Linked DNA regions of Schizosaccharomyces pombe. The gene in region 1 interacts genetically with each later gene. Each region holds a gene or a part of one and is shown on either strand. Other genes may lie near its edges.

Evidence for each region.
Region 2: mutations in rng10 (region 1) and bgs4 impair growth when combined (synthetic growth defect), as found in Schizosaccharomyces pombe (one study listed by BioGRID).

Annotation. Positions count from the first base shown.
Region 1 is NC_003424.3:3,118,444-3,124,312, reverse strand, and holds rng10 (protein Rng10), read left to right. Parts: upstream 1-1,704; 5' UTR 1,705-1,817; coding exon 1,818-4,934; 3' UTR 4,935-5,094; downstream 5,095-5,869. Other genes in the region: structure-specific endonuclease subunit Slx4, read left to right, coding at 5,313-5,366, 5,451-5,869.
Region 2 is NC_003421.2:2,253,573-2,258,818, forward strand, and holds the start of bgs4 (cell wall and secondary septum 1,6 branched 1,3-beta-glucan synthase catalytic subunit Bgs4), read right to left. Parts: upstream 3,081-5,246; 5' UTR 1,575-3,080; coding exon 1-1,574. Other genes in the region: SPOM_SPCC1840.13 (uncharacterized protein), read right to left, coding at 4,197-4,595.

The DNA.
Region 1 (5,869 bases):
GTTTGTACATGTACATGGCTTTTGAGTTTCTTTCCTGCATTATAGATAAAAGCGTGCTATAATTTGGAAAATCCTTCCATAATAATATAATAGTAGGTTTCAATTTGTCCCATTCAGTAGGAAAAAAGAACGACTCAATATTTTTTTGAGCCAAGGTAAATAAAAAATGAGATACTTTTTTTGAAAGCAAGCTAAACTTCAAAAGATTAGCAGGCTGGTCCACAATTAACTGTTGATAACTTTGCAGAATTGTGATAACACATTTACGACAAATATGGGTGTACTGGATCAGGCTTGTAGAAAAAAACTGTAAAGCAAAAAAGTGAAGACTAAAGGATTTTAAAGAAGAATCCCCTGAAAAGGAAACAATTCTTAATAGAAAATGTTTAGGCGAAACCAACTCTTCAGCCAGCAATCGACCAAAAAGCTTCAATAGGTAAGTGTAATCATCAGCGAACGAGTAAATATCAGCGTTTAGAAAAGACGAAATGAACGAAATTAAGAATCCCGCTGCAACATCAGTCCAATTTTTAACCCATTCTGTTATATCAGTTGTCTGGACTTTTCGTAAAAATGAACGAGCCTCATTTACTCCAGCGCATCGAATGAACCATATCGCTCGAGTAAAAGGGACTCGAAACTTCACCAACATTCGTAATATATCTTCTCCCCATAGACCATGTGGTATAGTTTTAATAAGAGAAGACAAGGGCACCATGGGATCAGATAAACCCTGCAACCAGCGGTCACGTCTAGACTCAGAAAGTGTAACTCTTGGTGGAGGACGAAACGGAGCGAATGGCTCATCAATTACTGCATCATTTTGCCGACCGAGCAAAGTAGAAGAATATCGTTTTAAATTTTCTAGAGTGCTTGATTTTTCAAGATGTTGTTGTAACAAACCCTGAGCAGATGCTCTATCACTTCGCACAGGTGGTGAATACCTGTGGCCTTTGGAAATAGCATCTCCTGCCAAAAAAGGAGCTCCGTCGACTGTCTCATCACGAAAATTTTTATCTGGAGCAGAAACTTTGCTTTGAAGTAATGTTAAGTACTCATCGTGTGAACTGGTCGAAGAATCAATATAGCAAATAGCTAAGGGCACCGCGTCATTAAAGCCTGGAGGGTTTGCTGAATCTCGATTGCTCATAAAGGATCAGAAAACACCTTTTTTGGAGCAACATATAAATATTAGTCAGATATTAAAAAAAAAAATGATTAGAGCTGGTAACAGAATGTTGTGGAAGTCCTTAAGCCAAGTTGGATTAGCAAATTAGATCCTTCTTCAAGAAACGTTTTCCAATTAAAGTTATTAAGAATCTAAGAGTAATGAAAAATTAAACAAGTTGGTTTTGAAACACAATGATTAGGTAAATTGTATTAATTGGCCTGTTGAAGTTAGCAATCATAAATTTCCACTTTTGTAAATACTAATATGTTAAATTTGAAGATTGATGTATTTGTTCATCATTCCTATTAGCTGATTAGATATTAAAAGTACTTTGATTTCTTCAACAAACGCTTCTAGGATTACGCGTAAGCCACATCAAAAACAATGAATATCTGCTACATTCTGAAAAGGTGTTTGCTTACAATTTTTGTGCTTAAAACAATAAATAACCTACAAGCTTGTGCTTGTTAACGTATGGGGCTGGCGAAGTCAATGTTATGCAGTGACTATGTGGTAGTCAGCAATCTACTACTATCCCTTCACCTCCAACTTTACGCATGAACAATAGTACATCAATAACGGTTTTATAAGTAAACAAAAAGCGAATTTTAGTCCATGACTATATATTTGAAAACTTAATAGGTCAATGGAAGAAAATACGGCTCAAAAGCAAAGTAATGCCACAGGCTTGCAACGACACGTATCAGGAAGATGGATTTCCAATGTTCCAAGTTATGAAGGTAATGAATGGAGTAGTGAAGAATCTGAGAGTGAGGATAAGGAAAGTAATCTCACCAGTAGTGAGAATATCGGAAAGAATCCCGAAAGGGAATTAAATTCTGACGGAACCGATCGCATTATAGAAGAAGAGGAGGAAGAGGATGATATTGAAAACGAGGCAAGTAGCTTTAGCGAGCAAAGTGAGAACGAGAATTATGACTTTTCATACCCTGGCACTTTTGTTTACCGAAAAGCAGCATCTAGTAGCCATGAGACGCTTGCTACTAAGGTTGTCTCCGCTGATGAAAGTGCACGGTTATGGGCCGAAAAGAGGAGATTTCTTTTACAGAAATTAGGAAAAGATCCAAATTCTAAGCCGATTGATTACAAATCTTCCATGGCATCTTCTAGCACCCGTTCATCTCAATCATCACAAGTTTCAGCCATTCAACCTCAAAGTCAAGATGATAATAGGGTCTCGGATATTCGACAAATGGAAAATCGAAGAGAGTTAAATGTAAAGAGGAGATCTGTTTCAAGTCCAGCAGAGGATCTTGCTATCCGTCCTTTAAGTTTCTCTAGGTATAAAAAGGCTGAAGAAATACCCGAGTCTTTACCTCCTATCAAGGGTAGAGATAGTTTTTCAAGTGTCAGAGAGCTCAATGAATCAAACGTATTTGCTCGTGCTCCAAATAAGAACCGATTCTCATTTGCTTCAGTTGCAGAGACTGGTAGTGGCTCCAATTTTTCCAGGGCTACCTCTTCCAGAAGTTCAAAAACTCGTAGCGTCGTATATGAACCTAATCATAGGCATACCAGCTTCTTTGGGGACACGCTTAGTAACCTATCTTCCTCGTTGAACGATAAGAAATCTCCTAATGACGATCATGCAGTACTAGATAGCGAATTAATGGAGCAAACTTTGCCGGACTCTGCCGAGGCGGTAGAAATTGCTAATAATGTGAAAGAAGATATTGTTTCTACCGCTAACGATGATGCCAATGAATTGGATAATACGAGTGAAAAAGCTACTTTGGAAACTAGTTCAAAGCCTGTTACGGAACAAGCAATTGAGCAATCTGAGGTTGTTCAAGAAGTCGAGGAGGGAGATACGAACATGACTACTAATACAATTTTGAAACCAACTGACGAAATTATTAATAAGGGTTATGCGTATTCTATAACAAGCTCACACTCGAATCATTCAAATGAGAAGTTTGAACAAATACCTAGTCCTGATGAAAAGCTTTCTCGAACAGATATTGACACTCATGTCAAGCAATTACAAACTACTAAGTCAACTGATAGCTTGTCTATTCCATTTGTTGAGTCTCCGCAGCAAAACCCAGAGGAAGAACTTTCGGACTCACTATCTAACGATTTTGGAATCGATGCTGAAAAGGAGAAGGATGAAAACCTCTCAAAACCGGAGCATCATCCATCTATAACTTCTGTAAATTCACCATTTCTTTATTCTCCTAGTAAGCAGCCCTCAGGTGAGTTGGATGAAGAAAATCTTAAACTACGATTACAAGATTCAGATGTGGATGATGAGGTAGCCACAATTCGTTCACTTAAACAAAATAATGCTACCAATTCGGAGGTTGAGACAGTTACGAACGATCCTTCTTTCTCCCAACAACCGGGTACTCATAGTCGTATTTTGCGAAATTTTGATGCTATCAGCTCTATCGATTCAATACCTGATAGCTTTTCTGACAGCGCTGTCGATTTGCCTGTCGATTCGTCAAAATATACCCTTGTTGGAAAAACTCAAAGTAATTCCAATCTACTTCAGGACAATGCTGAGAAACATATTTCAAAATCGAACCTTGAAAAAGTTGATGTGAAAGGAGATACATCACCCAATTCTGTCGAGCAAGGGATTGAACCTCAAGCTGCTTCTGTTGTTGGATCTCCACGCTCTTCTTTGGTTTCTAACAACTCCCTAGAGGAAGGAGCACTATTGAAAAACTCAGAAAGCTTGGAAAGTATCTATGGTTATCTTTCGGAGGAGCCCGATCCAGCTCTTACCAAGTTGAATACCGAAGACCCTTTTTGGACTAAGGGGTCATCTGACGATGAACATACAATAGCCTCTGTAGAACAAGACGTATATCCATATAAAACTAGTCTTCCAACTATTGTTGAAGCGACTACTTCTCACACTGAGTCAAGTAACTCAAAGGCTCCCGCAATTGAAGAAACGACAACTACAAAGGTCGAAGTGGTAGCTGCTCACGATGCAGTTTCAATATCCAGTAATTCCAGTACACATAAGTCTCACTCTGAACCATTAAATAGAGATGAGTTAGAAGTTGCTGCCTTAAGCCGTGGATCCTTGCCAGAACCTCCAAAACCCAACAAGCAAATAGTCGTTCAGGAAGAGGATCAACGAGACACACTATCTCTAAAGACAAGCACGACAGGTTTATCTTCTCATTCTAAAAGTGCTGAAAATAATTCAACTCAGCAGTCGACCACTTCTCCTAGCATTAACTCCGGTGCTTCAGCGGATGCTGTTTCTTCTGGAATTTCCAAAAAGGCTGATAATAGTGAAACTAATTTAAATTACTTTGCTACCTTAGATGCGTTTGTCAAGAGTCCATTGATGTCGTTCGATGGATTGGGTGAATTAGGTTCTACCGATCAACGTTACAACTTTTTCAATCAAAAGATTCAAGAATATTCAGCATACGATTCGGGCCTTGATAATTGGATTCAGTTTTGCTTAGAAAAAGATGGTGAGGCTCCAAAGGAAGCTCCTCCTCCTCCTCGTTCTGAGCCAGTTTCAACTACAACCAAACTTGCCAAAAGAATTACGCAGCCTTCGTTGAGTCCTGCAAGGTCAACTGTTACTATAACTCACAACATTGCTACTGAAGCAAAAAAGAAGTCTAAATCTGCTGCTAATGATATTTTACATTTGTTTAAGAAGAAAGCAAAAAGTGAACAATCAAACGCCAAGTCGTCATCTAGCTCTATCAAAGAATCCAAAAAGATGAAAACTCTTTTCGGAAAAAAATTGGGATTCAAATCATAAATCTTTTGCATACACTTTTTACCTAACTTTTTTCTCTCTTTTGTAATTTTCTAATTTATGTATTGTTTACGAAGCATTGCATTTCAATCAATAAGATTTTATCTAAATATTGTTTCATTTTCGTATTGCGCATTTTTGTGAAACCATTTAGTTATTTTTATCAGACGATGAGTTAAAATATCAAGCATATTCTGGTTTTGCTGCCACTTGTCTAAACCAAAATAAGAAACTGGACGAAAAACTTTCGACAAATTCAGGCTAGTACACAAAACAAAACAATCGAAATTAAATATTCATCATTTTTTGGGATATTCTTTCGTTTTCTTGGTGTTTTAGGATTCTGAGTACGCTGCTTTCAAGCTAAGTTTCATTAAATGGATGTCGGCTGAAGAATACATTGAGGTATCATCTTCTCCTGATATATTCACGGACGTATGAAAAAAATATGATATTCTATAGCAAATGATTAGAAATATTACATTGAACTGAAGTAAATGTATATTAACTGAGCTTTAGGATGATGACATGATAACAATAGAGCCAGAGCTAAACAAAAACCCTAAAGATTGTAATAGTAAACGAAAAAGATCTGTTACTGAATGTTGTGAAATTAGGCTGATAACTTCTAAATGTGATTTTGAGTCTACTCAACAGCTTGTGCATCACAATTGTACGGGACATAAGGTTCATGAGCACAACTTAAACGCTGTGGATGAAGAAGATTTTGATACTGAAAATCTCCCTCTTCTTTTTTCTTCCTTTAGCGACAATGAATCAGATATCTTAGAACCCGATCTTAACACTCGGGTAGCTGAAGATAATGATGTCCTTTTATCTAGATACAGCAAAATTAAAAATAGTGCTTCATGCAGAAATACTTTCGAGCACTCTGCATATCACTCAAATAGGGAAGAAATATCTTCTAGTGGTTTTTA
Region 2 (5,246 bases), on another chromosome or scaffold:
CCAAAGTGGATGACCCAAATACGATTGAAATTGGTAATAAGATGAAACCAAGAACGGGATTCATAATAAGTTTTATAAAAAGCACGATTCCATTGAACTTCTGGAAGCCTATGAAAACGCTCAGAAGCAGGAATATCAATAAGACGAGTGCCGTCTTCAAAAATAAGACGTGCTATACCCTCAGCATGCCAGAAAAGTTGGTTAATATCATCGTATCCAATTAACTGGTCATGTGGACGTTCCCGACGTACATATTTCCCATTGATAATTTCAAACTGCTGATCGTGCATATATTGGTAGAGTGGGGAAACAATATTATCCAAGTAATATCCTTCAGGAACTGGTTCAGTGACGTTTTGTGCCTCAGGTGAAATAATATAATCGTAAGCACATTTGAAAAGGAAGGCTATTACCTCAGGCATGAAACGAACATTGTTTGCCTCACCCCACAACAAAAGCCACAATGCAATTTGTTGAGCACGCTCGAATTGAGTCATTGAGCGCATGTGAGATCTCCAACGATATTCGGCGGATTCTAAAGAATCATCGGTATTAACATCAATGTATTCGTCTTCCGCCTCCTCGGGTTGCTCCTTTTTCTTCTTGCGCTTGAAGCGAGACTTCCTTGGAGGCTTAACAACTTTAGGGGCTTTTTTGTTTCGAGAAAAGAACTTTCCTTTCTCTTTGATAGAAGTAACTTTACCACCATAAATGCCAACATTAGCAAGACCGACTGCATCTTCCCGATCCATCTGAGAAGCAAAATACCATTTTTTATAGTTAGCAATATCACTACCAATATAATCGGCATGAAGCGTAAGCAGTGCTTGATCTGGAGTCATGCGAGAAGCACGAGAATCTAAAAGACACATAAAAAAATCATACATATTACGCATGGAATCGCGTTGGAAACCCAATTTATTGGTTAGATCAATGAATATGTCTTCAATCTCTTCCTTAGTTAAAGGGAGTTCGTTTTCAGGAGTCCAGGCAGGATAAGGCTCACGATTTGTGAGATTAGCGCTATCGGCATAGAATGAACCACTATCGCCATCCAATGGGGTACCTGAGCCCGAATTACCAACAAAAGAAGAGTTGCTAAAATCATACGGACTGCTACCGTAAGGCACACTGTTGTAGACGTTAGCCAACGAATCGGAACTAGGATCATAAGCGTTGTATCTACCATCGCCTCTCAAATTGTAAAAATTGTTGGCATCTGAGGGCTGAGCATTGTAATCTGAATACTCAGACTCGTATTCATCTGAAGGACGAGTAAATTTTCCTTTTTCAGTGGAATATTGATTGATACCTGAAGAGGCGGTGTCGACAGGAGTGTATTCATCTCCATAACTTTCAGTTACACCAGTAGGGTAATCATACCCATTGTAACCCTCTCCATACATAGAATCGTAGTCAGCCTGATCCAAAAACTCCTCATTGGAATACGCATCAGCAGGCTGGCGTTGGTATGCATTTTGGTCATCATAAACCTCTGAATCGTAAGCGTACTGATCATCCGAGACAGCATCATGACCAGTAATACCTGAAACATTTTCATTATTTCCAGACATTTTCTACTATGCTTAAAACTTGTAAATAGATTGAGGAATGAGGACTAATTAGAAATATGGTGAAAGGAGTTCCCAGTTAAAGAATAACGAACAGAAAAAAGAAAAGAATGAACAATTTCAATAGGAACTGAAAAGAGGGACTGATGACTTAATGCTTATCCGCTCTTGTAAGCCAAAATGAAAAAAGAACCAATTAATGGATGGAATAAAATATCAGAAAAGTAAAGGAAAAGAAATAGAAATACAAACACTAAAAGAGAAAAGCTTCAACAAACAAGATAAGCAAACTCCGTGAATGATCAAAGTGACTTATCTAAAAGAAATTCACTCCGTTAACAGGTTGAAATGACGATAACCGTATGTAAGGGTGGATAAGCGTCAAGTTTATAAATGGCGATATATGGGTAGATATTAACGAAAGAAAATTTCTAAAAAAAGGAAGGAATTCCCTGTAAAAGACTGTAATGAAAAAGAAAGAAAGGAAATAAAGGTAAGCAGATGATTTGCCAAAGCTTTGAAATAAAATTTAAGTAAGACAAAATCTACTCCAATGCGATAAAATATCAAGAAAGTAATGCACTAACAGATGCGTGTAAAACGGAGAATGCCACAAATGATGAACCCAAAATACAAGAGAAAGGAATATACAATAAATTTTGAAACTCGGAAAAAACCGAAGAGCTCTTAATTTTTTTCACGCTAAAATCACTGTATAAAACCCTTTGCAAACAGTACGTCTATTAAGACAAAGTAAAGAAGGCTCAATGGACAAAGCTCCTAAATACCAATGTCTGTCGATTCAACAGATGAAATGAAGAAGCCAGAACTTTAAGAAAAGAACTAGATGCTGTTGATTCTTGGGGATAAGATAACTTTCTCTCAGTCTTTTTCTTTGATTTAGATATAAAAAAACTTCAAGGGCACTCCAAAAAGAAGGGGAGGGGAAAGATTTTTTTTAAAGCGGGAAAGAAGCGAGAAGAAAAAGGCTGGTGGGTATAAACGAGGAGTATCCGCAAATGATCGTTATTATATGAAATTAGCAATAATAATAATAAAAGAGAAAAAAGGAAAACTTTGAATCTCTCAAAAGCAATATGAAACGAATAAAAGACCGTCAAAGTTCTTTTTACCACAAGGTATAAGAATTGAATAACGGGGAGGTAAAAGAAGAAGTAGAGAAAAAAAAACGATGAAGCAAAAACAAGTCGGAAAAAAAAACCGATGCCTGTTTGTTTTCACAATCAAGGAAAAACTTTTGTTGCAGTCCAGAAGGCAAATGGGGTCTTGCTCTTTTTTCAAAGGAAACTTGAAAAAAGCAGGCCTAGTTGCCTCACACGAAGGAGACTTTAATCGGGAGAAAAGAGAATAATTTAAAAATACGGATTGTTAAACAGTTTTCCCGATATGTGAATCCTATAGACGTTTGTTTTCAACCAAACTTCAGGACTACGCAAACACTTTCGAGATGTGTTGTTGGCGGAGGGTAGTGTTTGGTTCAGGAGAGACGGCTGGCGTACGTTGCAGGACCACCATATAAATCTTAACGAAACACAATAAAAATACTTAAATATTATTAAAAAACTAATATTTAAAAGGGTGACTACTAAGCCATAAAAACCCCAATGGAGAGGAGTATCGAAGTAGTAATCAGATGCAATTTTTATCAAGACAAGCCGGTCCTTTTATAAGCAGCGTAGTTGGTCTTGCTAAGTAATTCCTAATGTTGATACCAGCAGCTCGCAAAATATATGTATCAATTAATAGAAGGAGGGATAGTTGAAGGCAAGAAAGAGACTGCAGAAAACATGAGCTATTGAGATGAATAAAAAAAATTATAAAGTTAAAAAACTGAATGGGTGAATTACAAAAAAAAGACAAGAAAGTAAATAATTAAAATTTGTTTGATATAAAAAATGAGTACGATGGAAGTAAAGTTGTCGAATAATCAAAAAGAAAAAATATCTAAGCAAGAGAAAAATATGCAATAGAAAAACAGATCAGATTTTTTTATTTAAATCGATCGTCTTTCATGAAAAACTAGCTAATATTTAAATGTATTTTATTCAAACCCTCTACGCTTTAGCAGCATTAGCGGAACGAATTACGTTTACCAACATTAGGAATGTCTTTTCATTCAATTTGCACACTTATAAATAAACATCCTGCTGCTATTTTCGTACAATCCTACTATGCACATGCTTTCGAGCAAAAAAAAAAAATAAATAAATTAAAATTAATTAAGTTAACCCTACAATAGAAAGTGTAATTTTTCGGTTTTCACTATAGTGAAATTTTTAGTGACGGTTTCTTGCCATATTGCTAGAATCGTATGTAAAATACTGGATATGGTGTGGGATGGAAGAAGCAAGAAGGTGGCAGAAGAGAAAGTAGATAAGAAGAATGGGATAGAATATAATGGAATCAATGTGTCATTGGAAAATTCTTTAATAGTTCTTTTACGCTTTTTTTTTCTAAAAAGCTTCGAGGTGCAACATTTTTCTTTGACTTACTACCTAGAAACCAAAATGTAAACAATCGGTTATGTACAATGTAAACAAAGGGAAATTTGTTGTAACCATTGATCATCCTCTTTGCTACACCACTGATTGGGAAGAGCTGAATCTACAAGTAACGCTGTACCATTATTTCTATGACAACCGGTAACGGGCTCCGATAGGGTAAATAAACAAAGCTCGCTACGAGTAAACAATTGGTTTGTTTGGAATTGGCATATGGGACCGATAATAGCGGCTGGAAAAGGAAACGGTAGAAAACGTGAAAAGTATATGAAAAGAGCAGGCTAGATGAGATAGCAAAAGGAATAATGGGTAAGATAGATGGAAGAATAGAGTTGAGCGGGGAGAAAGATTTGGGTGGTGGGTAAATGAGGAAAGAAAAAGGTCGAATTATTGGAATGCAAAGGCTGATTAAGCGTAAAAGTTTTAAATCCTTTTTCAATGGCGCAAAAACTAGCCTGGTATATACATGGATGCATATTACCAAGATCCTATAAAAGTCCATTTGAAATTTCGCTCTTTTTTGGCTGTCCCTTCTACTAGGGAAGCGGCCAAAATTCCTATGAATAGAATGGGGAAGATGGAAAGGCCTGGTTCCTTGATATAGCGTGGTTTAATAGAATATCCTAGTAGAACATTGGGTATTGCCACAGAACTCGCAATGCAGAGCGGTGGAAAAATAACCGTGTACGGGAATTGAAAAACCATTGATGGAAATGGATGCTACGGGGATTTTGGAATGCAAGCAATTATAGCGAAGAACCGGAATCACATTAAAAAATCTAAAAAATTCATCAATTCTCCTTAATTAGATACTATACATTCAATCTCTCCATGTATTCAAATCTCTTAAATTGAATTCGTCTATTTCGCCAATTGTCAATTACGTTTCCATACCGTACATTTGAAGTAACGTTAAAAATATTTTAAAAAAACAAATTCATTCGGTTGCATGTTCCGATTCTAGTAGAACGATATTATTTGAAAATGGTTTCTTTCTTCTAGTCTACGAATTACCGATTTTTTTTCTCGTCATGAAATCGCCCGCCATCGGGAACTTAACGAATCAATTGTACTATAGCGTCTCGGTTTAAAGACGGAAAGGAAATTTTAGTTGGTTTGCTATCGTAATTCCCTGCCAAAAGCAATGTAAAAC